Linked DNA regions of Stegostoma tigrinum. The protein of the gene in region 1 interacts with the protein of each later gene in a pairwise test. Links are inferred from orthologs where the notes say so. Each region holds a gene or a part of one and is shown in the gene's direction. Other genes may lie near its edges. The genes, in order: cfap206 and transcription factor SOX-30-like.

Region 1 (15,949 bases):
GCACCTGGGTTCGATTCCACCCTCAGGTGACTGTCTGTCTGTGTGGAGTTTGCACCTTCTCCCTCTTTCTGCATGTGGTTCCTCCTATATTCAAAGATGTGCAGGTTAGGTGGCTTAGGAAACCCTGGGAAATGCAGGGTTACATGGATAGGGTAGGGGGTTAGTTCTGGGTGGAATGCTCTTTGGAGGGTCAATGTGGGGCGAATGGGCTAAATGGCTTGTTGATTCTGTTCTGCGATTCTATGATAACATATTGTGAGATTACAGGTGAAATCAATTGAATAACTGGGCAACTCAAAATGAAGGGCACTTTGAAGAGAATATTTTCACTCTAGTCTGATGACTCTTTCACATAATCTTCTTCCATATCTCTCACTTTGAAAGACTCATGGCCCTCAATATGTGCTCAGTTGTTTTTGTGGTGTCAGTAAAAGTAATGTTTTGTTGTAAAAGTACATTTAAAAGAAGTTTTCAAGGCATTTTTTTCCCCTATTGGGATATGAAGTTACTGTTTTCAAATGAGTAACTGTTCGAAGGCTCAAACATTCCAGGTTCCTGGCTTGGGTAGCTTGCTAATTCCAGTCAAGACCTCAGCCAGTGTGTTTCAAATTTGTTTTGAGAAGGAGAAAAAGTTAGTTGAGTTAGGTTTAGGGTTGAAAGATGCTTAAGATGGAGTTACTGTTGCTATAAAAACTGTGTTTTAATTATGTTTACTTTCTTAAAGGTGGAAACACAATGTTGTCTGGATTAAGAACAAGAGTACAAAAAGAAACCTCTTCCATGTTGCCCCTGGATCTGTCCAAGTATGTACACATTACGAGCCCAGCAAACCGGGACTTCACAGTGTGGAGTGGAGGTGCTGCCCTGGCAAGTTCGTCTGTCATTGACTATGCCTGGATCAGCCGAGAAGACTATTATGAGTTTGGTCCAAAAATTGTTCATAGGAAATGCTTTTAAATTACACTTCTGGATAAAGTATTTTTAAAGCTTTCTTTTATTAATCATAAATGCAATAATGATTTAATCCCAATGAAATAAGATCTGTACTTCTTTACAGCAGGTGACTTTACTCTTGTCTTGTATCTAGGTGGTGTTATGAACAGGAAAAATAAAGTTTTCATCTTGTCCTTGTTTGCTAGGGGAGATACAAATGTTGATGTTCCAGTGCTTGAAGGTTAAGGTTGGAAGTTTATTACTGGAAGCTTTGTTCCCACTATGTATTGTGGACGAGGAAAAGAATGTTGCTGCATCCTAACGGTACTGCACATTTGAACACTGACCTCAGTGGGAAGGAGGATGTGGTTAAAACGTTAATCCCCTCCAAATGTTAATGTTGTACTTGTGGATGAGGGTGAGAGGGCAGGGGAAGATGCTGAATTTGGAACTGTTGACATTATCTATGTTAACGGAAGAGATGGAAGCAGAAGAAAATTAAATATTTTAACCAAATTTGGACTGCCATCTGAACGTTGCTGGAACACTACAATGCAAGCTACTCATCTGCCTTCTTGAAAGGGCAAAGGAGCAACTTGATATTAACTGAGCTAAATATCTTTAGTAATTTGTAAGAAATATTTAGTGATTAAGAAGAAAATGTATGTTTTGAACAATCTATCTCTACATGGGAATGAACTTGAGCTGTTCTGTGTAGTAAATAATTTTTAAAAACATGAATACACAGACAATTGTCCATTCAAATTGGTCCCAGATTTTGAATAGTATGACAAACAATTTTAAAATATTTTCTGCATTGATTATATATCCTTGCCTGGGATACAATCACTGGTTAATTTAGGAGCATTGAGATAGTGCCATGAATTCAGTTCTGTGCAAAAGAATGGCTCTCTTTTAGAGGCCAGTCGTAAGTGAAAACACTTTTTCTAAAAAAAAATTAAAGTTTTTTATTGATTTTTAAGATCAGGGATGATACCATCACAGGGCCTTTTCTGGGACATTGATTTCATAACATGTTTTATCTCGTATAAATTGCCTTGAAACTTTGTACTGTAATTCTTTGTAACTTTACCTTAATCTACTAGCTGCTTCTAAGAGAAACACCCCTTAGGCAATTTTAGGAATGTATTTTATGTGCCATTGAAAGGATGAAATTAATACTCCTTTGAAAACAATTACAAACAGCAATGTGACTGTTACAATGACCATAATTTTGGGAAATGCTTTTTATTACAATTCTTGTTGCAGCATTTCAATTTTGTTTGCTTTTATGTCAGTATTGCATTTAAATCCTGTTAAATGTGAATCAAATTTGCCAAGAGATCTACTTGAAATGGAACTGTTGAATCACCAGTGTTGGAAACAGGTTTACGTTTTGTTAAATTCCAGTCTGTTATCAACATGGTAACTCTGAAGGAAATGCAATCACTGGGAACTAGTTCTTTGCCAATCACGTCTATATGTTTATATTTTTAAATGTAATAGTTTGATGTATTGCTTTCAGCAAAGATGGCACATTTTTCTGACTGGCTTAAATGATTTTAGTCATCTTTTTAGTGCAGAACCTGAGTACTGCCGAACAGAGCAACATGTTAGGAATATAAGAAGTAAAACATTTGGCCCCTCAAGGCTAACTTGCCATTCTAAGATCATTCCCCGTGTCTCAACTCCATTTAAATAGCAGCTTCTCAGAGCTGTCAACTCTGATATTTCAAAAATGTATCTACTTCCTCTATAAATAATTTGTGATGCAGCCTCCACAACATTGTAGTATGGAGAGTGATAATGGGAACTGCAGATGCTGGAGAATCCAAGATATTGAAATGTGAGGCTGGATGAACACAGCAGGCCCAGCAGCATCTCAGGAGCACAAAAGCTGACGTTTCGGGCCTAGACCCTTCATCAGAGAGGGGGATGGGGTGAGGGTTCTGGAATAAACAGGGAGAGAGGGGGAGGCAGACCAAAGATGGAGACAAAAGAAGATAGGTGGAGAGGAGAGTATAGGTGGGGAGGTAGGGAGGGGATAGGTCAGTCCAGGGAAGACGGACAGGTCAAGGAGGTGGGATGAGGTTAGTAGGTAGGAGATGGAGGTGCGGCTTGGGGTGGGAGTAAGGGATGGGTGAGAGGAAGAACAGGTTAGGGAGGCAGAGACAGGTTGGACTGGTTTTGGGATGCTGTGGGTGGAGGGGAAGAGCTGGGCTGGTTGTCTGGTGCAGTGGGGGGAGGGGACGAACTGGGCTGGTTTTGGGATGCGGTGGGGGAAGAGGAGATGGAGAGTTCCAGGCATTCACTACAGCCCCCTGCGAGAAGAAAAACCTTCACATCTCAATTTTAAATGAGTGTTCCCTTATTCTATAAATGTTACTCCTAGTTCAAACTTCCTATGCTTGCAGAAATGATTTCTATCTTCCCTTTCAATTTCCCACAGAATCTTGCTTATTTCATTTAAGATCATCTCTCATTCTACTAAGTGCTAATGAATAAAAACCTAACCTATTTCACTGATCTTGATAAGTCAACTCCGACCTCACAGGAATCAGCCTAGTCAGCCTCTTTTGAACACTCTCCAATTCCAGTTCTTAAATGCAGGAAGCAAAATTGTGCACCTTCTTCTGGATGCAGTCACACCAATGCCCTATACATTTGTAACAAGACTTCCCTGTTCATAAACTCCAACCCTCTAGCAATGGAGACCTAAATCCCATTTGCTGCACCTGCATGGTTTTTTTGTGTATCATGCACAAAACAGCCATTCTGCACTTTTTTTGGAATGTTTCACCATTTAAGATGCCTTTTGATTCTTCTTGCCCAAGTGCAAGTCTTCACACTTTGCAAAGCTTTTCATCTTGCACTCAGCAGGCCAACTGTAAAAATAACACATTTTAAACAATCATAGTCATTTATGTGACAGGAGAAAAGGGTGCTGATTAGTTGGCAAACTGGATCAACTTACCTATTTCTCCTGCAATTTGAATTGTTGAGATTGCTTGAAATTTAGCCTTCTCATATTTGTCCCAATGAATGCAAGACAAAAGCTTTGGTAATATGTTACTCTTTTGAAGCAATATCTTTCCTGTTCAGTTGACCACACTAATGTGCTCAAATATTTGACTGATAGTATTACTATGAACAAATCCAGTCGCTTTAGTTACTGATTCCCTGGGAATCGGGAACAAAGAACTGCTACAAAATACACAATTATATTCCTCAACTATCCTTTCTCATTCAGGTCTGTATGTGTGGCTAAAGCAATTTGATGAGATGCTGAAATTGAGTAGATTGTCATTAAAGGAACATACACAAGAGCCATGTAAAATCAGTAGGTCTCTTTAAGGCGAAGGTGGAACAGACAATCTGATGAAAGGGAAAATACACGCAAGTTAAAAAATTGGTAACTATCTAATTTAGCCAGAGAAATGAATTATGTAAGGAGATTTTAGTTGTTCAGGAAAATAGTACTGGAGATGAACCTCTCTAATATATTCTGTCATTGTAAGTCAGTATATCCTTCAATTTACCGTAAGCAAAGTCAGCAGTAGCAAGGTCCACCAGTACCTACTATAAATACACACACAGATGTGATCTGCAGGGAAGAATAACTACCATTATCATTCATTTGTAGAAATCAACATCTTTTTCTATTTGTGTTTATCACAATTTCATAAGTCACAGTAGTGTTGATGGTTTTAATTCTTGAGATAATATACTGTTACATTTTTGTGCAAATAATCAAACATATCACTGGTGAGCAAAGCATAATGAGCAGGACCTTTTGTATTTTTGTCCTCTTAAAATTGTAAAATATTAGATTGTACCACAATCTGAAATAAGACTGAAGTATTGTACAATGCACAATTTTATCTTTTGTTCTAAATAAAAGTATTTTTTAAATTAAACATTGCTTTTAGTGATACCTGTGTGGACTCATTGTTGCAATATTCTTGTTTAACTGGGCAATGTTTATAAAGTTTTCTTAAAATATTATCCCTTCCACCAATATAAAACTCAGGAAAATGATGATTAGATGTTGTTGATGGTCAATTGCCTCCCACTTGTGTGGAATGCATGTTACTCCCCACTTATCAGTCCAAGTCTTGCTGTACATGGACACCTTCAGCTGGATTGTCTAAGGAGTCATAATTACGTTGAATATTGTGCAGTCATCAGCAAATGTTCCCACTTCTTACCTTTAAGATGGAGGACATAGAAGAAGCAACTGAAGATGGTTGAGCTTTGCACAGTACCTTAAGAAACCCTGGACAGATGTCTGAGACTGAGATGATTTGCCCCATCAAATACTGCCATCTTTGTTTATATGGGCTATGAATCCAACTGTTGAAGAGTTTTACCCTGATTCTTAGTAAATTAACTATTGTTGATGACATACTTGGTAAAATTCTGCCTCAGTATCAATAGCAGTCACTCTAACTTGATCCATGTTTGCACCAAGACTACAGTAAGATCAGCAGTGGCCTTGATGCAACTCAAACGGAGGATCTGAGAGCAGATTATTTCTGTGTAAATGCCACTTTGTAGCACTTTCAATACATCCTCCATCACTTTGAGAGTAGACTGGTGAGTTGTTAACTGGATGGGATGGATTTGATCTATTTTTTGAGGACAAGACATAGTTAGATATTTCAGGAGGATGCCAAGGTGGATCAAACTCCAAAGGCATCTCTTATTTGTACGAGACTACATTGACATACATTTGAAGAACCAGGAAAGTATGATAAACTGAACAGGCCCCCAATTAACTTTGGCAGAAAGACCTTAGTCAGTGGTCTTTCTCCACTGTACCTTGGTAGCCAGTGCCCCAAGCTTTAGTGCATCCCTCAGCATGCAAACCTGGACCTTGGAATGTATCAGCGTGCAACACATGGTCGAGGTCAACTCCTTCTCTGGAAGACCAGCAACTTTCAGGCAGACCAAAGAGAGCCTTTCACTGCATTGATGGTCCTCTAGGCGCAGTCAATGTTTGTTTTTGTGTGCATCTTGGGGAACAGACCGTAGAGCACAGAATCCTGTCATGGAGCTGCTCAGGATAAACCTCAATCAAAAACCATGGCATCTTCCTTTGCAAAGGTACATTTCAGGAGGTGTGTGACAGTGACTAAACTGTCTGTCCCACAGCAACCTCGAGGGCAGCATGCAGTGGTGCACAGAGTCTGGGCGTACATGAAGGATCTCATAGGTAGTACCCTTCTCACCACCAGCCAAGCATTGTCATGGTGCATGTTGGAGAGTTCTGGTGATGAGACATTCTGTGAAATGACTTTAATAGTCTTCTCAGGAAACAACCTGACAGGATCCATCCCCTCCTTTTCCTGCAGGGTCTCAAAAATGCCATGTGTTGACCACTTCCTGATGGATATCCACAAACGTCCACTTGCTCCACCACTGACGCTCAATAACAGCAGTGTATACCATGTATTATATGTAGTGTATAAATGCAGCTCAGAAATTCACCAGGATCCTTCGAGTCATGGTCCAAACTCATAGTCATTACCACCTAGAAGGCCAAAGCAGCTGATACATGGGAAGACCACCATTTGCAAGTTCCCCTCCAAGCCATTCACCAACTTGACTTAGATATATGTCACTGTTCTCTCACTGTTGCTGGGTCAAAATCCTGGAACTCCCTCCCTAACAGCATTGTGAGTCTAAATACAGAACATGCACTGCAGCAGTTCAAGAAAGTTGCTCACAATCATCTTCTAAAAAGGAAATTAGGGATGGGCAATAAATGCTGGCCCATCCAGCAATGCCCATTTGGCACAAATAAACTAAAGATAGCACTTCTGCAGCTAATCCTGTTTGGGTAAGAAAAATTGAGCATCCAGGTCAGTGCACTCTGTAAACTAGCTTCACTCAGCCACTGGGAAGGTTTATCTGCTTCAAAAAGTCTCCTGTTCACTGATCCATCTGCATCCCTTTATATTTGCAAGCTAGATTTTTCACATCTTCCATTAAGTCAGCTCTGTCACAGGTATGAACTCCAGGCAGAATATTTCTTCCAATTAACCAACTTTGAAAGAGGGCAGGCAGTTTAGCCCACTGCAGACTGGTTTCTTATTTTGTTGCTATCAGCTGGATGACCATCGTGGGCACTTGGCCTCTGGCTCTCTGGAGATCTATCTAGTGGTGTCTAGTCGGAGCCAAGTGCGGCTAAACCGAAACAGAAATAGAGATTCCAAGATAATAAAATGTGAGGCTGGATGAACACAGCAGGCCAAACAGCATCTCAGGAGCACAAAAGCTGACGTTTCGGGCCTAGACCCTTCATCAGAGAGGGGGATGGGGGGAGGGAACTGGAATAAATAGGGAGAGAGGGGGAGGCGGACCGAAGATGGAGAGTAAAGAAGATAGGTGGAGAGGGTGTAGGTGGGGAGGTAGGGAGGGGATAGGTCAGTCCAGGGAAGACGGACAGGTCAAGGAGGTGGGATGAGGTTAGTAGGTAGCTGGGGGTGCGGCTTGGGGTGGGAGGAAGGGATGGGTGAGAGGAAGAACCGGTTAGGGAGGCAGAGACAGGTTGGACTGGTTTAGGGATGCAGTGGGTGGGGGGGAAGAGCTGGGCTGGTTGTGTGGTGCAGTGGGGGGAGGGGATGAACTGGGCTGGTTTAGGGATGCAGTGGGGGAAGGGGAGATTTTGAAACTGGTGAAGTCCACATTGATACCATATGGCTGCAGGGTTCCCAGGCGGAATATGAGTTGCTGTTCCTGCAACCTTCGGGTGGCATCATTGTGGCAGTGCAGGAGGCCCATGATGGACATGTCATCAAGAGAATGGGAGGGGGAGTGGAAATGGTTTGCGACTGGGAGGTGCAGTTGTTTGTTGCGAACTGAGCGGAGGTGTTCTGCAAAGCGGTCCCCAAGCCTCCGCTTGGTTTCCCCAATGTAGAGAAAGCCGCACCGGGTACAGTGGATACAGTATACCACATTGGCAGATGTGCAGGTGAACCTCTGCTTAATGTGGAATGTCATCTTGGGGCCTGGGATGGGGGTGAGGGAGGAGGTGTGGGGACAAGTGTAGCATTTCCTGCGGTTGCAGGGGAAGGTGCCGGGTGTGGTGGGGTTGGAGGGCAGTGTGGAGCGAACAAGGGAGTCACGGAGAGAGTGGTCTCTCCGGAAAGCAGACAGGGGTGGGGATGGAAAAATGTCTTGGGTGGTGGGGTCGGATTGTAAATGGCGGAAGTGTCGGAGGATAATGCGTTGTATCCGGAGGTTGGTAGGGTGGTGTGTGAGAACGAGGGGGATCCTCTTGGGGCGGTTGTGGCGGGGGCGGGGTGTGAGGGATGTGTCGCGGGAAATGCGGGAGACGCGGTCAAGGGCGTTCTCAATCACCGTGGGGGGGAAGTTGCGGTCCTTAAAGAACTTGGACATCTGGGATGTGCGGGAGTGGAATGTCTTATCGTGGGAGCAGATGCGGCGGAGGCGGAGGAATTGGGAATAGGGGATGGAATTTTTGCAGGAGGGTGGGTGGGAGGAGGTGTATTCTAGGTAGCTGTGGGAGTCGGTGGGCTTGAAATGGACATCAGTTACAAGCTGGTTGCCTGAGATGGAGACTGAGAGGTCCAGGAAGGTGAGGGATGTGCTGGAGATGGCCCAGGTGAACTGAAGGTTGGGGTGGAAGGTGTTGGTGAAGTGGATGAACTGTTCGAGCTCCTCTGGGGAGCAAGAGGCGGCGCCGATACAGTCATCAATGTACCGGAGGAAGAGGTGGGGTTTGGGGCCTGTGTAGGTGCACCCTAGACATTTTTCCATCCCCACCCCTGTCTGCTTTCCAGAGAGACCACTCTCTCCGTGACTCCCTTGTTCGCTCCACACTGCCCTCCAACCCCACCACACCCGGCACCTTCCCCTGCAACCGCAGGAAATGCTACACTTGTCCCCACACCTCCTCCCTCACCCCCATCCCAGGCCCCAAGATGACATTCCACATTAAGCAGAGGTTCACCTGCACATCTGCCAATGTGGTATACTGCATCCACTGTACCCGGTGCGGCTTTCTCTACATTGGGGAAACCAAGCGGAGGCTTGGGGACCGCTTTGCAGAACACCTCCGCTCAGTTCGCAACAAACAACTGCACCTCCCAGTCGCAAACCATTTCCACTCCCCCTCCCATTCTCTTGATGACATGTCCATCATGGGCCTCCTGCACTGCCACAATGATGCCACCCGAAGGTTGCAGGAACAGCAACTCATATTCCGCCTGGGAACCCTGCAGCCATATGGTATCAATGTGGACTTCACCAGTTTCAAAATCTCCCCTTCCCCCACTGCATGCCTAAACCAGCCCAGTTCATCCCCTCCCCCCACTGCACCACACAACCAGCCCAGCTCTTCCCCCCCACCCACTGCATCCCAAAACCAGTCCAACCTGTCTCTGCCTCCCTAACCGGTTCTCCCTCTCACCCATCCCTTCCTCCCACCCCAAGCCGCACCCCCAGCTACCTACTAACCTCATCCCACCTCCTTGACCTGTCCGTCTTCCCTGGACTGACCTATCCCCTCCCTACCTCCCCACCTACACCCTCTCCACCTATCTTCTTTACTCTCCATCTTCGGTCCGCCTCCCCCTCTCTCCCTATTTATTCCAGTTCCCTCCCCCCATCCCCCTCTCTGATGAAGGGTCTAGGCCCGAAACGTCAGCTTTTGTGCTCCTGAGATGCTGTTTGGCCTGCTGTGTTCATCCAGCCTCACATTTTATTATCTTGGAATCTCCAGCATCTGCAGTTCCCATTATCTCAGAAATAGAGATTGCTGGAAAAGCTCAGCAGGTCTGGCAGCATCCGTGCAGAGAAATCCGAGTCAACGTTTTGCAGCTATGCTGAAAACACAATGCAACATCTTTCATCGAATATCGCCACCGTGACCACGTGCGTAAGAACGTCAGGGGATTGACGTCAACCAATCAGGCTGGTCGGTTGATGTCTGTCTCCAGGGTAACGGGATCGTTACACGAAACAACAGGAGGAGGGAAACGGAGAGTAACATCCACCCAGGAAAGGATCAAGAGCTCGGAACTTTGTCAGCTGAATGTGACCGTTTGTAAAGCAGGTTGTGAAGGGCTGATCTGAACAAACTGCTGTTAATGTGTGTCCTCCTCTTGATGTTTCCATTATCTAAATCCTCACGTCTTTTTTCCCCCTGTTTGAAACCTGCAGGATGGCTTACACCCAGGCTGAATGTGTGATTAAGAATATCATTCGGGAAATAGCCCAGGAGTGCGCTGATAGAGGACACTCCATTTCTGAGACTCTTGTAGCGTTCATGGTGAGTGCAGTAAGATTGGTACTCTGATGAGTTATTTGCGTTTTACTGAAGTGAATACGTTCTTCATTACAGCAATTGTTACTTACCGTTTGGGACAGGAGCATTGGGAAAAAAATCGAACTTCATAATCCAGAAAAAACGTAACTATGCTATTGCAAGAGATAATGGGAACTGCAGATGCTGGAGAATCCAGGATAACAAAGTGTGGAGCTGGATGAACACAGCAGGCCAAGCGGCATCTCAGGAGCACAAAAGCTGACGTTTCGGGCCTAGACCCTTCATCAGAAAAGGGGGATGGGGAGAGGATTCTGAAATAAATAGGGAGAGGGGGGAGGCAGATAGAAGATGGATTATGGAGAAGATAGGTGGAGAGGAGAGTATGGGTGGGGAGGTAGGGTGGGGATGAAGGGTCTAGGCCTGAAACGTCAGCTTTTGTGCTCCCAAGATGCTGCTTGGCCTGCTGTGTTCATCCAGCTTCACACTTTGCTATCTATGCTATCGCAAGCCTGGTGAGGAGCGCATACTCTGATATTCTGTAGAACACATGAATTTTCAAACTGGGCAGTCCCAGTCCCCAACGAAGCACCACACTGGGCTCACAGTCTGCCTCGATCGATGTTGTCCTCACTACCTTCCCATTGATTAAGGACGAGCAGTACAGATCACAATATTGTACAAGTATCTCACCTCATCTCGTCTTCAACCAGAAAGGTGCACAGCTTGCAAAGTCTTGGTGTGCAGTCCGGTATACTGCAGAAACAGCCAGAGCTGAGTAAGCTGTGCATAGTGTATGAATCTGGAGTATAAAATGAGTACTGTATTTACATGAATTACATCAGAGGCTACTCTAATATTTCAGCCAAAGTATACAAAGATATTTGTTCATTCATCCCCCTTTCCTTTACAAGAAAAACTTTTATATGCTCCATAAATTGCAGGTTACTCAACATACATAATCTATCGTGAATAATCTCTTGCATCAAGAAATATCTACATGTTCTTTCAATTTCACCTGCCCCTACACATGTATTTCATGCATAATGTTCAGTTTTTCTAATTATATGCACCGGATTCTTTGTTGTCTGTTCGTCTGGTGTCTCCTGGTTCCTGGATTGACATTGCTTTTCTGAGTCATGCTGTCGCAATACTCTGTTGTGTGGTGCTATTTGTTGCTGCTGATCTGTTGCTTTTATTGGGAAATATTTGACTTCTGGGATTGATGATTGTTCAGTTCCTTGTTTGCAAAATTAAACCTGCCTTACCAGCAGTCTGCTGTGAATGAGAGTTTCTCCGGTTTCATGTATACGCCTACGGTTGCGATGCTACCTCTTGCTGTTCACTTTCACTATGTATAATCTAGGCAATAACTAATAATTTGTGATCTTTATAAATGACTTGGTTGAGGAAGTGGAGGATTGGCTTAGTAAGTTTGTTGATGACAGGAAGCTTGGTGGAGTTGTGGACAGCATGGATGGCTGTTGTAGGTTGCAACGGGACATTGACAGGATGCAGAGCTGGGCAAAGAAGTGGCAGATGGAGTTCAACCCGGAAAAGTGTGAAGCGATTCATTTTAGAAGGTCGAATTTGAATGCAGAATACAGGGTTAATGGCAGGATTCTTGGCAGTGTGGAGGAACAAAGGGATCTCGGGGTCCACGTCCATAGATCTCTCAAAGTTGCGACCCAAGTTGATCGGGTTGTAAAGATGGCAAATGGTGTGTTGGCTTTCATTGGCAGGGGAATTGAGTTTGAGAGCCATGAGGTTATGCTGCAGCTCCATAAAACTCTGGTTAGACCACACTTGGAATATTGTATTTAGTTCCGGTCACCTCATTACAGGAAAGATATGGAAGCCTTAGAGAGGGTGCAGAAGAGATTTACCAGGATGCTGCCTGAATTGGAGGGCAGATCTTATGAGGAAAGGTTGAGGGAGCTAGGGCTTTTTTCATTGGAGCGAAGAAGAATGAGAGGTGACTTGATAGAGGTTTACAAGAGGATGAGAGGCATAGATAGAGTAGATAGCCAGAGAATTTTTCCCAGGGTGGAAATGACTGTTACGAGGGGGCATAATTTTAAGGCGATTGGAGGTAGGCATAAGGGAGATGTCAGAGGTAGGTTCTTTACACAGAGAGTGGTGAGTGTGTGGAATATGCTACCAGCAGTGGTAGTGGAGTCTGTTACTTTAGAGACTTCTAAGCGACTCTTGGATAGGCACATGGAGGATAGTAAAATGTAGGGTATGTAGGGTAGATTGATCTCAGTCAGATAATAGATAGGCATAACATCATGGCTGAAGGGCCTGTATGTGCTGTACTGTTCTATGTTCTATAACTGCTTTATACAGGTCCCCAAATTGTTAAGTGGGCTGAAACATGTTGAGAGTGTTAAATGTTGGTACTCTGACTAGCTCAGATCTGGCAGTAATTTGGCTGCGTTTTCAAATTGGAATTTGGCGTTCTGCCATTTCACATTGATCTTGTCACTCAATTCTGTTACTAGGAATTGGTTCAGTAGATTTTTGTTTTTGAAAAGTCGTGTAGGTGCAGAGTGATATTAGTCACTGGGTTGGACTACTTTCCTTGCCTCAAGGAGTTGTGTTTCTCTAGTCCTATTATTTTGCTTGTGTTCATTTTATTAGTTCCTGTCCATGAATAGCATTAGTTTCTTTAGCATGCTAACATCTTCATCTATTGTAAATATACTCTTGTAAAGTAATTATTCAATAGGTCTGCCATTACATTATTTTCAGCAACGATTTCATTGTTATCAGCTTTCAAGGGGCTCAAAGTGGCCCTGACTCCCTCTTTTTCTAATAGCATTAGTAGCAAGAATTTGATTTATCCCTTGCTGATAAGATTGCCTTGTTCACTCCAATGCTGAATTTCATCATTTTAGATGATGCTGTTGTCAATTTTCACTGCTGTCTCAACCTTTCGATTGGACTTAGGAAGGTACATGGGGATGTGATGGCATAGTGTAATTAGCAAGGCAGATTTTTAATTGAATTTGAATTCAATAAAAATCTGGAAATAATAGTCCACTGATGGCCATGAAATCATTGCCAATTGTCTAGAAAAACCCATCTCATTCAATTATGACCTTTAGGGAAGGAAACAGTCACCCTTACCTGATAGAGGCATAGGCTGTTTTCTAAATGGGGAGAAAATTCAGACATCTGAGGTACAAAGTCCAGGATTCTGTTCAGATAACCTTGCAGGTTGATTCAGTAGTTAGGAAGGCAATTGCAACTTCGACATTTAGTTTGAGAGGCCTTGGCTATAAAAGCAGGGATGTACTTCTGAGGCCATATAAAGCTCTGGTCAGACCACATTTAGAGGATTATGAGCAATTTTGGGCCCAATACCTCAGGAAGGATGTACTGGCCCTGGAGCAGGTTTAAAGGAGGGTCACGAGAATGATCCCAGGAATGAAAGTCTTAATATATGAGGATCATTTGAAGACTCTGGGACCATACCCGATGGAATTTAAAAGAATGAGGAGCAGATCGAATTGAAACTTACAGAATACTGAATGGTCTGGACAGAGTGGATGTTGGGAGGATTTTCCATTGGTAGGAGAGACTAGGATCCAAGGGCAAAGCTTTAGAGCAAAGAGAAGACCCTTTAGAACAGAGATGAAGAGAAATTTCTTCAGCTAGAGAGTGGTGAACCTATGGATTTCGTTGCCACAGAAGGCTGCAGAGGTCAGGTCATTGAGCACATTTAAGATAGAGATAGATATATTCTTGATTGTCAAGGGGATCAAATGTTATGAGGAGAAAACAGGAGACTAAGATTGAGAAATTATCAGCATGATTGAACGATGGAGCAGACTCAATGGGCTGAATGGCCTAATTTCTGCTCCTTTGTCTTAGTCTTTTGTGGCCAACATGTGACTCCAGGTCCACAATGGCCCACAGCAATGTGATTGACTTTTAATTGTTCTCGGGGCAATTAAGGATGGGCAATAAATGCTAGTCTAGCCAGTAATGTCCTCATCCCATGAATGAATAAAAAAAATGATGTGTAGTGCAGAATCTCCTAACTATTCATGAATACAGATAACCTCATAAACATTATGTGTTTTCAAGAAGGAGGTATATATGACTGTTGTGGCTAAAGGGCTCAAGGGATTTGAGAAGAGAGGGGTCAAGATATTGAGCTCAATGATCCATCCCAATCATGTTGAGTAGTGGAGCAGGCTCGAGGGGCTCAATGGTCTACTCCTGCTTCTATCTTCTATGTTTCTATGAGGGCTGATGTTGTTTGAAATTTCAGAGTTTCAGGAAGGCCATAATGTCGGAAGTGTGCTTTCAGGCTTTCTATAGTCTGACTGGTGATCATTGAGGTCAACTGCTCAGCAATCTGAATCGTCATTTGTGATGAAATATTCTGTTCCTGAAACAACAAAATAATCTATGACAAGCTTCATCCAGGGGAAGTTCTCTAGTTTGCTCAGCTTGATATTTGTTACAAGTGCTACACTGGCTGTTATGGTTGTTAATCTCATTGTTTATGTTTGACTATTTGAGCGCTCTCTTGCCTTCCTCAAGATGGACTCAGTTCCTTGATGGCTTGCCTGGATGTGTTTCATGTATCCTGCCTCATCTCTTGTTTCTTTGTGTGTTGTTTCTTGGCCATTTTGGGTTATCACCTTATCTCTGTGTATCCAATACTCTTTTATAGCAACCTTGATGGTTTCAGAACATCTCTTCATTGCAACATCCTATAGCACTTGAAGAGTTGCATCTCCTTATGTAGTTTGTTTGATGTGAGAAAGACCCTTGTGTGTCAGGTTCAATGGGCTACATGTCATGCAAAAACCTATTCAGCCCCTGAGTGAAGAGGATGAGGCTGTCAACTCAAAAGCCAACTGTCCCACAGCAGTAATGTGCTTGGAGCAATCTTCACTGATTTAGAGTGGGTCTTTCACTCCCATCTTCCACTCCAAAATATACCTGGCCCTTTTCTGCAGTGGGAAGTATTTTACCAGCAAAAGCAACAGATTGGTCCATACTTTTCCTTGCCCCAGTCTGAACAATTATTTAGTTTTCATATTACTAGGGCAAAATCTTTAAATGTTTAGACTTCACTCACCCACTGCACCATACCTGAATGGGTAAGTAGATATTTTCTAATCTGCCTTTTTTTGTGCCTTTTATCAATGTCGGACAGTCAGGTTCATGCATTCTTAAACACCAATTAACCTGTTCAAAATATGACTTGTGAAAAGTTGTGTTCACACATCACCATTAAATACAATAGCTATCACTAGATTTTAACAAAGTGCTGGGGAAACTAATGGAACTAAAAACGGTTAAGTCTCCTGGATCTGAAGAGATGTGTCCTAGGTTTCAAAAGAAATAGCTGGGGATATAGTCAATGCTCTGTTATCTTGGAAAAATGTCACAGGATTAGAAAACGGCCACTGTAGCACCTTTGTTTATAAAGGGATGAAGACAAAAAGCAGGTAAATTTTGGCCAGTGAGCTTAATGTATGTTATGGGGAAAACATTGGAATAGTCTATAAAGGATGTAATCGTAGAACATTTAGGAATGTGTATCACAATCAAGCATGGCTTCATACAGGGGAAATTATATCTTACAAATTTCTTCAAATTTTTTGAGGGTGTGACAAGGAGGACAGATAAAGGGGAAGCAGTGGATGTAATATATATATATGAATTTTCAAAAGGCATTTGCAAAGATAACACTATTTG
Region 2 (15,967 bases), on another chromosome or scaffold:
TTACAATGAAAAATGCACCAGCTACATTTCAAAGACTAACCAATAAAATCATTTCGGGTTACCCAACTGTGTGGTGTACATAGATGATCTGGTGTTTGTTAGTCACACATGGAAGCAACATTTGGAGTATCAATCAGAATTGTTTAATCAACTACAGAAGGCGGGTCAGGTGATAAACCTGGCTAAGAGCAAGTTCACAAAAGCCTAAGACATCTTAGGCCATATCATTGGACATGGACAGATGGCCCCCCAGGATATGAAAACAAATGTTATTGGGGTGTTTCCCATACCATCAACAAAGAGGAAAGTACTACGATTCCTGGAACCGAATGGTTTTTATTAAAAATCAACACCAAATTTTAGCAGAGTGGTTGCTCAATTGATTGGCTTGCTGATGAAGTGCAGAAAATTTCAGCGGATGGAGGAATGTCAAAAGACATTAGAGAGTCTGAAAGCTGTGTTAACTGCTGCTCCACTGTTAGCCACAGCTAATTATACAAAGCCATTCAAGGTGGTTATCAATGTGAGTGATGTGGGTTTCAGTGCTGTTCTCTTGTGAGAAGACGACAACAAGATATAAAGATGTATCGGTATTTTTTGAGATAGTTAAATATTGATCAACAGAAATATTCCAAAACTGAGAAAGAGATCCTGAGTTTGGTGTTGGCGTTGCAACATTTCAACATTTATGTTGCCAGTAATATCTAAAACAATTGTACATTTTTGAAAAAAGTTTAAAGATAAACATACCAGACTATTTAGGATTTCTAGTCAGGTGGAGTTTATTGTTACTGTCATCTAATTTGAAAAATATACACATGGCAGGACAAGAGAACATAATTGCTGACATGTTGTCGTAATGTTGATTTCAGAAGACAAAGGTGTTCGATTGTGGATGAAACTTACTGAAATAGACTATAGTATTGAATGTTTACATGCTTAGTGTCAATATAATATGTATGCATATTAATAAGACTAAAGGTTTTTTCAAATGAAGCCATCTTTATGTATTTTGTTCTTTTTTTTAAGAGAGGTTTTGAGCCATTGGTGATGGGCTGTCTATTCAAAGCCAATAAAGTAAACAGCTTGTGAGGGCTTGGGTTTGTTTTTACGTTGGAACAACAGAAACAGCTTGAATGGATGGAGTCAGGCTCCCACAGAGCCAGGGTTTTAGTTTAGCTTTCAATAGTTGTTGGGGTTTTGAAACTGCCATACATCTCGCCCGGCTATGGAAAAATGCTTGAGTTCTTTCTCTCTGCCAGAATTTTCTCTTGATGTTCCTTTCTCCCGGACTGGAGAAGGATTACATGTGAGAAAATCTGTTTTTTTTCTGAATTTGCCTTTGCCAAGGGTGTATCTATGGGATATTATTATATTGGAACAGTTGCTGATTAATAATTTAAAAACCTATTATTCTGTTAAATTTTCCACTCAAGTTAAAGGTTCACTTATTCGTCTTTCGTTGTTTATACTTTAGCCATATAGGTTAAGGATAACGTGTTTTGCTTAAAGCTTCGTGTACCTATTCAAATTAAATCTGGAACACAACACCTTATACTTACATTTAAATAGGATAAAAGTTAGGGTCTAGGCTATCTCCTTGATATATTTGAAAGTGGTTTGTTCTGGTTTACCTGATCTACCATTCTACTTTTTTCAACCTTGGTAGTGCTCTCCACCATGGACATGACCTTTCACTTATCTTCATGAAAGTATAACTACCAGTATGATGTGATACCTGGAAGTCATCTCTTTGTAAATGGCCGGTGCTGCGAACCCAGCTCTGTTACGCCCTCTTGTAGCTAGTGATGAGCTTTATACCATGAGCAGAGTATTTGTATCCGATCAAATGTTACTTTTGGTGGCTCCTGTAACATCAGAATAAATTTTCCAGCCAAGAGGTTTCTATAGTTAAGTTAACAGTGCCCACTTACTTTAATTGAATCATTTAGGCTGCTTATGTTATTTTCTAATGAGGAAGCAAGCTGATATCATTCTTGTAAAAGCGCTATGGAACTAATGACTTGATAGATTTTTAAATAGAAAGAAGATAAGGCTGCCTCCATGGTATTCTGTTTGCAGATGAGTACTCACATAAGCTTGTTGCTGTCAGTCTTTGCTTTAAGACCAGGGCTGTGTAATCTTCAGTGGAGTTTCCAAGATACTGCAGACAGAATTCTGGATCCTTTTACAAGTGGGTACTGAAGCTCAACACCAGGCTACTACCAAGATGCTGCATTATGTGATATTAGAGTCATTTCTCTATGAACAGCCACCACTGTTCACCTACATCTGTTCTGTCCTCATGTTCTGTTATGGTTTGTGATATGCTTTTTACGTTCAGTGAGATACCTGATGAGGTGATAATTATATTAGGCTCTGTAACATAAGAATGAGATATGGATAACATAATACTGAATGATTCAATAACCTTTCGTTACAGCTGCTGGTATTTACATATGCTACAATCTTGTGTGGGCGGGCTACAGCTAAGCAATTTGAATGTCAATTGTAGCACACTTCCCTCAGCATGTCATGCTGAAAAGGGCCTCAATAAGATGAAGAGTGAGGTCTTTATACCATGAGGTCTCATGGCATTACACAACAATCCTATCATGAGCATGTGCCTTAAGTATATATTGTATACTAACTATAAGACATAACACAACAGATAGAACAGATGTGCAACTTCAAAAAGATAACTGAATGGCTTATGGAATAAGTTTTATGTGATTGAACATGAGACAATATACATTAGAGAATGTGAAATGAATCATTTAATTTGGTTTTATTGACAAACTATCAGAAGAGAACTACTTGGATGTTATTGCTACACATTTTCTGCAATGCTGAGCAGTTAACAGTAGGATAAGAAAGTCGAATTATCTTAACTTTAGAGTGACTAAGATCAGTATTAGCATTTTACACGTAGGGCGTGCTGCCTTCAAATGGAATTGATATACTACGAAGAGATCAGAGAAGAGTAACAAGGATGAATGCAGTTGCAGAACTTTTTTAATTGGAGAAGACTGATCATGTACAGCCCTACAAAATGTTAAGTTTGAATAATATAGATGTAAAAAGGCAGTGTGAGCACAAAACTGGACCTGCAACTACTAAGCTAAATTAGAGGACCTTCTCCAACAGAACAGTGGATGTGGGACAGATTCCATTAAAAAAATGTATCCAATGTATGGACAGAACTGGATTTTTTGACGTTTTCCTTGAGTGAATAGAGGTCAGGGAGAGATTTTGCCAGAGAACATTCCCTGAAGTAAATAAATACATATCATGGTACCTGCACTAGAATGGATTGCACAAGGATTTTGGGGGAAAAAAAGCATTAATGGCCTGAAGGGCCTTTTCTCATTTCATGCTTTCTTATTTACAGATTACATTTGCACCTATCTGTTGGACTTTGGGAGAAATCTTTACTGGAGATACCCTCCACAGGATCATTTTCAGGATGAGTGGCACATCGGCTAGAGTGCCACTGGAAGGTTTCCCACATTTACCTGAAGGTAACCTTCAGCTGATTCTGCAGAGATATAAATGGCAACACCTTGACATGATATAGAAGAGAACTACTGGATTTTCACAATATCATTTGGTTCACCTGCTAAGACAACCACCCTTTGTGATAATGCAAAAAAAATTGGAGTCCACGGTTTCAATATTTGTGCTTCAGCCTATGCAACAACATTCACTATTTAGCTATCCTATGGCATATTGGGATTGCATTCTTTTATCTTCATACTCTCGGATTATGGTGGAGCATTGAAAGTACAACATCAGTTGTTCATTACGTTCTTCTATATCAATCCTATGGACGATACCTCCATTTGAGAGATTTTATCTTGGTACTCTTGTTTAAACTGAATAATCTGCTCCTCATTGTGCTTTGATGCTCAGATTTCAACAATTCAGTTAGCCACATTAGCTCCAGGAGACACCTACAGTTATTCATTCAAGATCACAGCAGCATCTTGTTTCATTAACCATGAGGAAGTGAAGGAATCCTTAATACAAGTATAGGAGGCAAGGTGTTGCTTAATTCACATTGGAATATATATTAACTGCAAACTATAATAGCTATACCAAGAATTGATCATTCGTATGAACATGCACAATTAATTACAAAGTAAATCTTCGTGGACCAATAGTATTTGTCTCTGTTTAGTTGCTACAGCTTGTCTTGTAAAGGACACTATATTGTGTACGACAACAATAATTAAAATTGTAAAGTTTTGGAATCTAGTCGAATAAAATGGCAATTCTAGAATTAGTAGAGATATATCTCACAAAGCTGAGGGTTTCTTTTCATTTGATCATGTAAATACATTTCATTTGGATACATGAATACTTGATATTGTGGCTTTTTAAGAAAGCTGGATAAAATGGGACAGATCATTCTTATGGATCAAGTTTTGGTGCCTATAAGTAAACACAATGATCAATGGCTTAGATTGTAAAAACTTTTGCTGGGGGCGTTGTGGGTAGAACTTTGATTTCTGAAAAGAATCTTGTCTTAGTATCACTTATCATCAATTATTACCTGTATGAAGTGAAGGAAAATAACAATGATTACTTTACTTTTTGAGACTTGAAGTTAGAAATTTAGAATATTGACTGTTAATTGAAGATCTTACTTTCTCTACTACAAAGAATCCCCCTTTTGTTTAAACATTTTGTACCAGCAAAATTCAATGGAAAGCCTTGACCAGATGCTTTTATCTCCAAAGAAACTAGAAACAAAAATCTTTTCCTTTTACATATGTCAACATATATCACAGTACCTTGCTGGGAATATTTAATACAGATGCTAATTCAGTTGCAATTTTAAGAGGATTTGGAGGAAGGTGAGGGAGCCAGAGGATATGTAGAGATAACCCATAATCAGGCAGAATGGCACAGAACAAAAACAGAAGTTGCTGGAAAAACTCAGTAGGTCTGGCAGCATCCTTCCTCAGAACAGTCACCAGACTCAAAATGTTAACTCTGATTTTACTTCACAGAGCTGCCATGTACAGTTCAAAACAATGGGCTTAATTTTAACCTATTCAAAGCCTATGTGCTTGTGCTAAGGTTAAATCAGGTCCAAAGCATTACAACATTGACTGGGAGCAACATCTGTATTTTCAATGAATAGAATCAATTCAGCAATTGCCCAGGAGAGAAAAGAATAAGATAAGTTGACTTTTGAGCATAGCGATGAAAGGCTTGCATTGTTAAAGCTGCAGAAATATATTCTCTGAACACAATTCTTCATCTTAATAAAGAAAATAAAGGGCAAAGGAGTTAGAACTATTGTTGTATCTGTGGATAAATAACTGTATTTGTATAAATACAAATGCCAATAGGTTTTATATCAAAATAACCTCCAAAAAAGTTCCACATTTCGGCTTTTTTTATATTCGTGAACTCCACTATTTCTCCACTTCCCGATGCAGGAGTAAATAGAAATTCTCCTTGGCAAACACAGTGCTTCAGAACAGTTGACATATTTCAACAAATTATTCACACTGACTGATATGATTTGAATTGAATTTAGATTAGTAAGGCAGTGACTGCATATAATCTTTTGCAAATCACGACAGTCCAAACCACAACTATGGTGCTCATTGACATTGGTTTTCTGTATTGTACTGCGTGTTGATGATGCTGCCAGTCAATGTTGTAAAGCTTTAGTCCTGGTTTAGTCTTTGCACAAGTGCATGAGTTTTGTTAAAACTAAGCCTGTTGTTTTGAATTGTATATGGTGTGTAGCACAATATTTTAAGAAGTACTTCATGCATCCAAGTTGAAATTAGCCTTACATGCATCTGGAATAGCATATTCAGTCCCTTTCCCAGTGCTAGACCACCTTCTTTTCATTAATGAGATGAAGGCATTTACTAGCTGGGTCAGCATTTTCTGCCCATTCCTAATTTCCCTTGAGAAGGTGGTGGTGAGCTGCCCTTGAGAACCACTGCAGTCTGTGAGATAAAGAGACATCAGAATTTTGATCCAGTAACAATGAATGAACAATGATATAGTTCCAAATCAGGATGGTATGTGCATTGGTTCAGCAGCTATTTTTTTGTTGATTTGTATAGTGTGTCTAGTACTATGTTTGACCTCTCATGTTCTTTCCCTTTTCTCCCCTCCTCTTCTGAAGATAGAGATTCATAGAAGAGTATTCTTCCAAAGCTACCATCAGCTCTCCAGAACATTTTGCTTACAAATGAGTACAAAACAATCTGTGCTTAAAACTATTTAACAGACAGACATGCCAGGAAATAAAATCTAATTGGATTTGATTTTGACTCTGCCCAATGTATGTGTACTTCCCAGCTAGTGTCACTCAAAATTTAAAATTGGGAATTCTGGTCTTTTCCTTGTATCTCCATCCCTAACTCACGGAGATTGTGATCAGTATGATTCACCCCAATTAAGATCAGTTAACTCAATACAAAAACATCTCTATATTCTGTTCTGTATTGGTACAGTACAACACCAAGCAGAAACTTTACATAATGAGAAATCAAGGAGCTCTATAAGCCTGTTGATTATCATTCGTTAACAAAAAATTGTTCAAGGTAGAATATAGTGAAATTTACCAATATTTTCAGTTACTTAAGACAGACAATGTAAGAGACTACTCTGCTAATTCATACAATATTGGACCAAATTATGACCTAACCCACCAGAGGCAAACTAGTTTCACTCAGGATGGACACAGACTTTACACCTTGCATGATTTTACTCACCATTAATTTAATTGTTGCTTAGGAGTACTCCTATAACACGTAGCAGATATTTTCTGATCACAAGGCAGAAAAGTTGTTGATAAAAGTCAACCATGCTGGCACAGTTGGAACAAAATTAAAAGAGTTACCAATGTTGGCATTTCTCAACTTGACTAGCATAACAGGCATACTCGGTCACTGAATACACTGTTCCATCAACCCATCATAGCTGGTCACCATAGTTGTCTTTCTATCTTAAGCTCAACTGATGACTGTTGACAAAGTGTTGATCAATAGCTTCAAGAAAAATTTGAATAAATTTCTGAGTAGGAACAGAATTAAGTCTTAGCTGTTCAGATAGCAGCAAAGCTAGTGTGAAAACAACACAATGAAGCAAACTTGTCAAAGATGATTGATTTACTTTGTTCATTTACAGAAGGTTGGCATCAAAACTGGCCTTTCTTGTCCATCCCTTGAAAACATGGTGCTGGGCCACTTTCTTGACAATTGGTGGGCTAGATGCTGGAGGAAAACTGTCCTAAATGCTAGGAGCAAGTCCACCTCCACTTAGTGAACTCACCCAACTTTAATTTTTCAGAAAATTACACTTTAATTACTACAAGGTGTGGATGTGGACATTGGGGCGCATATTGGAAAGAACAGTAAAGGAGAATAAATCTGGCAAGGTAAAAAAGGTCTCTAATTGGCCTCAGACTGAGGCACTTCCCTTTCACTGACTTGTGACAGACGGTGTGTAACTTGCTTGGCTACACATGGGGCACAGGCCTCTCCCATTGCCTCTATATTGACATTCCAATGGGGAAGATGAAGCCTATTGTCAAGCATTAATTGCCACTTAAGAGCCTCAATTGAGCCATGGGAGAGCATTCCACCCAATGTAAAATTCAACTCTATGTGACTTGCTGGACAATTTCCAAAAACAGTTAAGATTTATTCAAATTGCTGAGCCACTTCCAGATCAGACTAAGTAAGACTGTAAGAATATTAGATTTTTTTAAAACAAAAGACATTAATGAACCAAATGTCACCATTATCATTATCACTGTTATTGATGCTAGCTTTCTGTTCATACCTCAGCAATTAATATTTATATGGTGCTTTGGTGCCATGATTAAAATTGGGAATGGACTAGGCAGCAGATTTAGATGATCATATATATTCAGAGGGTTGGAAGGAGAAGGTTGCATAGACGATGAAAAAACAAGGCCATTGAGAGATTTGAAACAGGAAATAGAATTGAAATCAAAACTTCACTTAATCTGGAGGATTAGTGAACATAGGTGTGATAAATGAATGGAACTTGGAGGTTTTTGCAGATTTGGATGATCTCATGTTTATGATGGATACTGTGTGGGAAATCAGCCAGGAGGACATTGGACTAATCAATCTAAAAGATGCATGAAAATGTAATTAGCTGCATTTAAGTTTCCATGTTGCCAGATGGCATTTGAACTCATGATTCTGAATTGTTAGAACAGGCCTTTGTATTTATTAATCCTGTAACATAACCACATGTCACAGTTCCCAATGTAGGGATAGATGTAGCATTATATAGTTATTTGCTTGATTAGCCTTTGGTTTGAGAAATTTATGAAATTAAAGGGAATAAAAAGCCCCAAAAAACACATTTATTATTAGAAATTGTTCTCTTACCTAATTTGTAACTTTGATTTCTTGAATACATTAGCTGTATTGAGGCATTCAGAGTTGAACCTCCGTCGTTGGAAACCCCTTGAGTCATACCATGTTTGAGAAACATCCCTGGACAGCCGCACTGATGTTAATGCATCATTGAACAAGGAGGTGGAGAAGCAGTAGCTTGAAAGCCTTTATCTTTCCTGTTGAATTTTCTTTTACAGTGGTCTTCGCATAAATGGAAGCAAAAGCAGCAAGTAATGTTGAAAGTGGCACATATTGATCCTTGCCATTACTTGCTTTATTAGGCTATGTCCTAACCTTCTTTATGATTTTATTTGTCTTTATGTTGCCTTACTTGTGAGATTAATTGTCTGTTTAATACTCTTCTATAATGCCTTCTTAACTCCGTAACTACCAAAAACAAATTTAAAAATTACATTCTTACAGATTTTGCTTTTGCTGGCATGAAATTCATGTGCAAACATTGATCATGTGTCTCAACAAGGATTTCACCTATGGATCACATTCTGAATCTCATTCATAACAAAGCATCCATCCACGTGCTGTTTCTGTCAGGAGTCACCAAATAGATTGGGTGGTAGCATTCTGGCTTTTTATTCCTCATTGTAGATCTGTGGCTTTGATATCAATCTCCACATCTCACTGCTTTCTTGAACTCTCACTCTGTGGATTTAGGATGGAACCTCAGAATATCTAGTTTCTATAGAATCGTTTCACAATACATGTTGACCCTTTTAATTAATTGAGTCAACAAGGAGCTCAAATATTAAACTAATTATCGCATTCCTTATTTTCTCTTTAATATGACATAATTTTACATTTGTTTTTCAGAGTGAAAATAAGTTTGTTTCAGGGTTAAACTCAAGAAAAGACTTTGGTGATCAAAATATTCCTGGCCAACATGTGAATGAAAAGATAAAATTGGAAGATGATGAGCATTATAAACCTTCTAATTCCAACAGAGGAACTCAACAGACTAAAGATTTATTGTTCTTGAAGGATCTGAATGGGACTGATGGGACGCAACATAGTGATTTGAAACTGCCTATAACTTTACACCCACTTCCACCTGGAATCAAACTTCAACTTCAAGGATCATCTTCCACATGTGATGTGGTCAAATTTGCCAAATTATCTGGACCACTAGCATCAAACAATCTGAGTGACATCAGGCTACAGACACAAGTGGATCCATCCTTGAAAATAAATACTATAAATGTTCCCCTTACCGTTCCTCCTACAGAAGCAGGTACCCTTTTGTATATCCTTATTGTTAATGGATAATGTCTTCTTTGAATTTTATTTGAATGCAGTGTATTCTTGAGGGATATTTTTAACATCAAAATGAACATTTTGCTAACCAGCCACAATCTTAATCATAAATGTTCATAAATCATACACATTTTGTGTGGAGTACTGCAATGTCAAAATGTGAGAGTAGCATGTTGCTGCTTGTCCTGGGTTGAGGAGTTGATACTTATTGTTTTAAAATATGTGAGCAATGATGATTGTGAGGAACTTTTTAATGGCATTTTTTTCCTATTGTAGCAAACTGTTAATTTTCAGGATGACAGCTGTAACACATGCATGTTGAAAGCTTAGTAAATATTCATGAGAGAGTGGATGTTTGAAGAACACTAACATTTTGGAGAACTAAAACAAATTATAGGCTGATTAATTAAATGTATTAACAGATATTTCCTGCAGCAGTTTTTCTGCCACCTCTTGTTCTCTTGATATTCCTCTCTTCAAGACAAAATCTGCTTTTGGGTTATTGTTCCGAGGCTGTCAGTAGCACCTAATTGAAGTGGCCAATCTTCAAGTGCAAACGTTGGAAATACATGATTAGGATAAATCAGAACCAAGTTTTCACCGAACTCTACAGTTTCGCATTTTCAGAAATGGTTTATCCTAAACTTCCTCATGCAAATTCTGAAGCCACTCTACTTCCACGTTTAATCCATATCTGTGATCAATTGTTTGCACAGACCAGAATTAAACCAAGATTTTCAAGTTCACTTAGTACCTTATTGGCTAAATCCAACACTTACATATATTGATTACACTTATTGATTAACCAAGCACCTGTTATGCAGATGAGCACCTCAGAATATTTAAGAGATTCCAGACCAAGCTAATTGAGTTCTGTCCATCTGTTGAGCAGTGCAGTACGCGCACTCTCATCAAGAGTATATTCCACTTTCTTTAACATTGGGATACTACTATAATTTAAAAAGTTAGCAGGTTTCAAGTTCAGAACATCCAGCATAGACTGTCCAAACATTAGGAAGACTATTTATACAGTTTGGAAGTATGGTAGCAATTTGAACCCTTAGTGACATGGGTTTCTATTTATGAGCCTGGTTAGGTTAACCATCAACAGTGCCCTATAATCCTACCAGCTTCTATATCTCAGAAACTGGGTTAGTTTTCTACAGTGGCTTCACTTAGTTCCAAGCTCCTGTTAGGGTCAATCTTATCTTGGAAACAACCGGGCCTCCTTCTCCTGACAGGACAACAATCATGCAGAAGGCTAAACAGTCAACCAGTGCAATCTTTGTGAATTTGCTGAGTGGACAAAGGCTTCTCAGGGCTGCAGTTAATAGCTCAGACTTTGCTGCCAGCAACAAAGGGACGGCTCTGGCTGTTGATCACACTGAAAGTTGCCGACAGAATTTTTTGTGGAGATGTGCTGTAACCTAGTGCCTCTGCAGTGCAATTATGAGCAAAACAGAAAAAAATAGTGGAGCATTCTAACCAATCTGTTTGAAGATTTTTGACTGATGCACGCAGGGCCAGACTTCTGTGGAGTCAAGAAAATACTTCAAATTTGTAAAAATGGCATGCATAACCTGCATGGAAAGTCCCCTCCCCATTTCTGACATCCAATTATTGCTAGTACAGGAAAGGGGTGAGCCATGATTCACATAGTCAGCAAATCCAAATTAATCAGTGATTTAAACTCATCCTGATATGACGTTGTTGAAGAAATATAAATGTAATAAGTAGGTTTTTATGAAGGAGAGTGTTTTTTTTTCATTAGAGTGAAGTCTACAATAGACTTTGAGAACTTTATGGAAACTTATCTTACTATATGCCTGCATAGGCGCTGACATTTGTCAAAAGTGGCTACCAGGTGAAATGGCATACTAGATGTGAGGTCAACAGATGGTAAATGGAGATCATGGGTTGGCATTAATTAGCACAATATTGGCATAGGGATGTATGAGCAGGTACACTGCCACAAATTGGTGTGGAGGATATCAGACCCATGAATGTGGTCAAAGAGGCATGAGCTGGCATGGGAATAAGGTGGTGTGGCGTGGAGATGTGGAGTGGGGTTGGCATGGATGAGGCATGGGGAATGCTTGTGGAGAAAAAGTATGAGGGGTGAGACTGGTGGGCTACTTAATATTCCCTTTCTTTCTGAAACTTCATACAATGATGTTATGCCAAAGTAGGCCTTCTGCCCAGCATACCCTCTCCTCTGTGCCTAGCAGCCTCAGCACCAAAAATACGCTCTCCAGAAAGGTTCACACGGCTGGGCATGCTTGCAACTTTGTACACCCAACACACAACAAAAATCTAATGCTTTCAGGATTTTTAAGGCTTTTTCAATAAAACTCTTTAACATACTACATTACTCCAATGATTTTTTTTCAACCATCTGTACAGTTACTCCCTTTGTTCTGGCTTTAGAAATCAATGATATGCCACCCTCCAAAGACAGAAGTGGGCATATAAAACGGCCAATGAATGCATTTATGGTTTGGGCTCGAATTCACAGACCATCATTAGCCAAGGCAAACCCCAATGCGAATAATGCTGAAATTAGTGTCCAACTTGGCCTGGAGTGGAACAAGCTGACAGAAGAACAGAAGAAACCCTACTATGATGAAGCACAAAAAATAAAAGAGAAACACAGGGAAGAATTTCCTGGTGAGTTAAAAGCTAGTTAGAATACGTAGATTTTTTTTAACGTGAAGTAAAGATGAAGTCTTGGATAATAACAGGGGAGGATTAGACAGTTGTGGGACGAGTGGGAGTATAGTTTTTGAAACACCAAAGCTTGCATCTTTTATGCTTAACAGATTCCTGACTCAGAAGTCACTTATTGACAGGTTTGCCTTTCACGCCTTGTGGGTTGAACACAGCAATAGGCTCTCAGAATAAAAACTTTAGGTCTGGCTCCCAATGCTCAGAATACAGTGGAGATGGTCTGCTTCAAGGAAGTAATCCAAATCCCAATTCTATGGACCTTTCTATGGGAGAGAAGGGAAATTGATGGACCCAGGGTTGGGGGAAGCATTCTGCTCTTCCTGACCCACAAGATGTGCTATAAATGCACTTTTCTGCATCATGTTCCTATCTTCCTTTCGCTACCAGGATTGCAAGGTCTGCCAGCTTTAATGTAATTTAATTTGCCTCTTCACCTCCTGGAATCAGATCTGCCACCTGTTTTTTGTCCTGGCTCAGTTGAAACTGGAAATAGATGTATCAATTTGTTATATTTTCTTACACAACTGTATCTTATACAACTCTATTCCACCCATTTTTAGTGTTAAAATTCAACTTGAAAAGTTAACACTGAAACAGAAAGCAAATTTATGAGTCATATTTTTCATGAAAATATTCCTCTAATGTCTATGTAAAAATATTGTTAGAAACTTACGAACTTCTATTACTTAGAGAAATTCAACTGTCATAATGCAGTGAAGAATCTCAATAATTTTCCAGGTGGTATCATCATTTAGCATTATCTCTACTATACTTTTGCCACTTTTAAGTGTCTGTATTTTTTTGTGTTAAAAAATTTTCTCAGTAAATTCACTTTTGAGTGAGAAAACATGGATCCTTTGCTTCACCATAAATACTGTGAAAGAGACTATCGGAGATAGCAGAAACTGCAGATGCTGGAGAATCTGAGGTTACAAGGTGTAGAGCTGGGTGAACATAGCAGGCCAAGCAACATCAGATGAGCAAGAAAGATGACTTTTGCAGCCTAGACCCTAGGCCTGCTGTGTTCATCCAGCTCTACACTTTGTTATCCAAGAGACTGTCGGGTTCCCTCTGATGTCCTGGCACAGGAAACAATGCATTGGTACTTAAAGGTTAGAGGTTTGAACTATGAATCAATCTTTGTACCTACATCTGAGGCTGAAGTTGCAGCCCAGTTTTGAGGAAGTGCTTCCCAGTTCTGGCACCTTAAGAAAGTTCATTGTGTTAAAGGTGCTATACACATGTACATTCTTGTTGTAAGCCACCCTCTGATGAAACATTAAAGGGAGCTCCTGTCAACCTTTCCCTGTGGATATTAAAAACGTGTTATAGGAAAATTGTAAGATCATTATTCCAGAAGGATAATTTGAATGGCCCAGATCAAAATGGATTCATTGTTTTAAATCACACCGTGCAAAAATACCTGGCAAAAAGAAAGAGCAGCATTGTGTGAAAAAATGAAAATGTTCCTTTAGAAATCAGAAGCAAAGAGGTTCATCTTATTTGGACTAAGATTCTTACATTAAATAATACTGAACTCCACTTTGTTGCCAACCATAAGAAGGCTTCTGAAGAAATTACTTTCGATACCATACCATGCAATGACAACAGCCCTTACAATGAAACTCGAGCTGTGCTACATGGCCTTAAATGTTACCGATTTCAGAGGAGAAGCAGCACAATGACCCTACTGACGCTTAGGTTTAAAATCTTAAGAACCCCAATCTAGCATTCAACCAGCTAAACCTAGCTAACACTCAGTAACTCAGTAGGGTCATTGTGCTGCTTCTCCTCTGAAATCGGTAACATTTAAGGCCATGTAGCGCAGCTCGAGTTTCATTGTAAGGGCTGTTGTCATTGCATGGTATGGTATCAAAGGTAATTTCTTCAGAAGCCTTCTGATGGTTGATGCATTAATGATGCTTATTTTAAAATTTGTACACTTTAACGTTTGAATTCATGAAAATTTCGTGTTATAATTTACTACATTAACTTTTCCCCTTAGGATGGGTGTACCAGCCACGACCAGGGAAAAAGAAACGATTTGCACTGGGCGTTCCTTCAAATGTTTTTCCTGGCAGTGGTCAAAATATTGTTTCGACAACTCCAGCAACCATTTACCCTTATCGGCCTGCCACCTATTCGGTAGTTATTCCGAATTTACAAACAAATGTCAACCGTCCATCAGTTATTGGTAAGTTGTGAAATTTATAATTGTTGATATTAAACAGTGTAGTTCAACATATCTATTTTGTAAAATGATGATTAAGCTGCAGATTCTAATGGTATGAGTAGATGGCACTAAAAGCATAATAAAGAATTTTCACGATAGTGACATGATACCATATGTTACATAGTAGCCTTTTAATGTATCTTCATGATTGCAAAAGCCGTTCCTTGGTCAGAGAGAATCACAGTAAAGGGACAGCACGTAAAGCCACAATGTGGACACAGCAATGGTAACCATATTTACACTGATGAGAAAATAAAGTATGGAATTTAAAAGGCACAAAGACGGTGTGGCTATATGCTCACAGAAAATAAACCTTCATCAAGGCAATGTTTGAGAAAAGAAATAAATGACCGTCTGCACCCTACCCTTGAACAAAAATTATTTACTTTTTCCAATCACCATATTAAGGTCGAAACAGGTAACTTGCTACCTTTCTTTCTCTGAGGTAGATTCTTCACTTCTTCACCCATTTCTCATAGTCCCCTTTCCACTTTTACTTTTCTCCACTTCCACCCAGCCTAACCACTCAATGCCCATCTCCAACCCAGCGTTATGACTGAGGCCAACATAATTCATCATAATTTCTATTGATGTCTAAAGAGCTCCTCAACTCTCCATTAACTCCCCTTGCTCTCTTGTCTTTATTGGCCCTACAATGCTTTATATTTGCATATGATTTATTTATTTAATAATTTCAATTTCTGTTCCTCTTCTTTCCCACTTACCCTCTCCCTGTCCCCTTTCTTCACTTCTTTCCTTTCTGTGTCCCATTTACCCTTTCCCATTCTTCTCCTTCTCCTCCTGTCTCTCTATCCTCTCCCTGTTCCTACTCTATTATTATCACTTCCCATTCCTCCTCTCATCTGACTGTAACCCTGTCTTCCTCCCCATTCAAAATAAAATTGGTCTCATAGCTGCAACATCTGCCTGTAGAAGAAGACCAGAGTCTGGCTGTAAATTGAATCTCAGATCTCTTCTACTCAAAACCAAAAAGCTGCAGTCACTACCCTGGTGACCTGACACCCTTTGCTGATCAAGGAACAGAAAATTTGGCTGGACCCAGCCCAGAGATGGGAGCAAAGGAGGTGAGCAGAAGAAGAACAAGCATGAGTTAGCAGCAACCTGCAGAACTGTTTTGGACAGGAAAAGAGGAGAGAGCTCTTGTCTTGGCTTCAAACTAAGGTACGTTAAAAATCAAGAAATTACCAGTTCCTTGATTGCCTCCACTGGTTACTCTGAGGAAAACTGATTAAGCTACGACCAAGCAGAATGTATGAGCCACTTTCTCTTCCCATTTGGAGATCTTGCTGCAAGAGGAGAGCGGGAC

Evidence for each region.
Region 2: the proteins of cfap206 (region 1) and transcription factor SOX-30-like interact in binary tests that used the Homo sapiens proteins (3 or more experiments, as listed by UniProt). The two-hybrid records come from large-scale screens. The link is inferred for Stegostoma tigrinum from reciprocal best matches to the Homo sapiens genes CFAP206 and SOX30.

What each region holds. Positions count from the first base shown.
Region 1 is NC_081357.1:39,375,958-39,391,906, forward strand, and holds the start of cfap206 (cilia- and flagella-associated protein 206), read left to right. Parts: upstream 1-9,668; 5' UTR 9,669-10,015; intron 10,016-10,122; 5' UTR 10,123-10,123; coding exon 10,124-10,231; intron 10,232-15,949. Other genes in the region: uncharacterized protein LOC125452541, read left to right, coding at 725-957. UniProt on the Homo sapiens protein: Essential for sperm motility and is involved in the regulation of the beating frequency of motile cilia on the epithelial cells of the respiratory tract. Required for the establishment of radial spokes in sperm flagella.
Region 2 is NC_081366.1:70,473,720-70,489,686, forward strand, and holds the start of transcription factor SOX-30-like, read left to right. Parts: upstream 1-7,357; coding exon 7,358-7,414; intron 7,415-9,239; coding exon 9,240-9,657; intron 9,658-12,107; coding exon 12,108-12,347; intron 12,348-14,412; coding exon 14,413-14,601; intron 14,602-15,967. UniProt on the Homo sapiens protein: Acts both as a transcriptional activator and a repressor. Binds to the DNA sequence 5'-ACAAT-3' and shows a preference for guanine residues surrounding this core motif. Binds to its own promoter and activates its own transcription.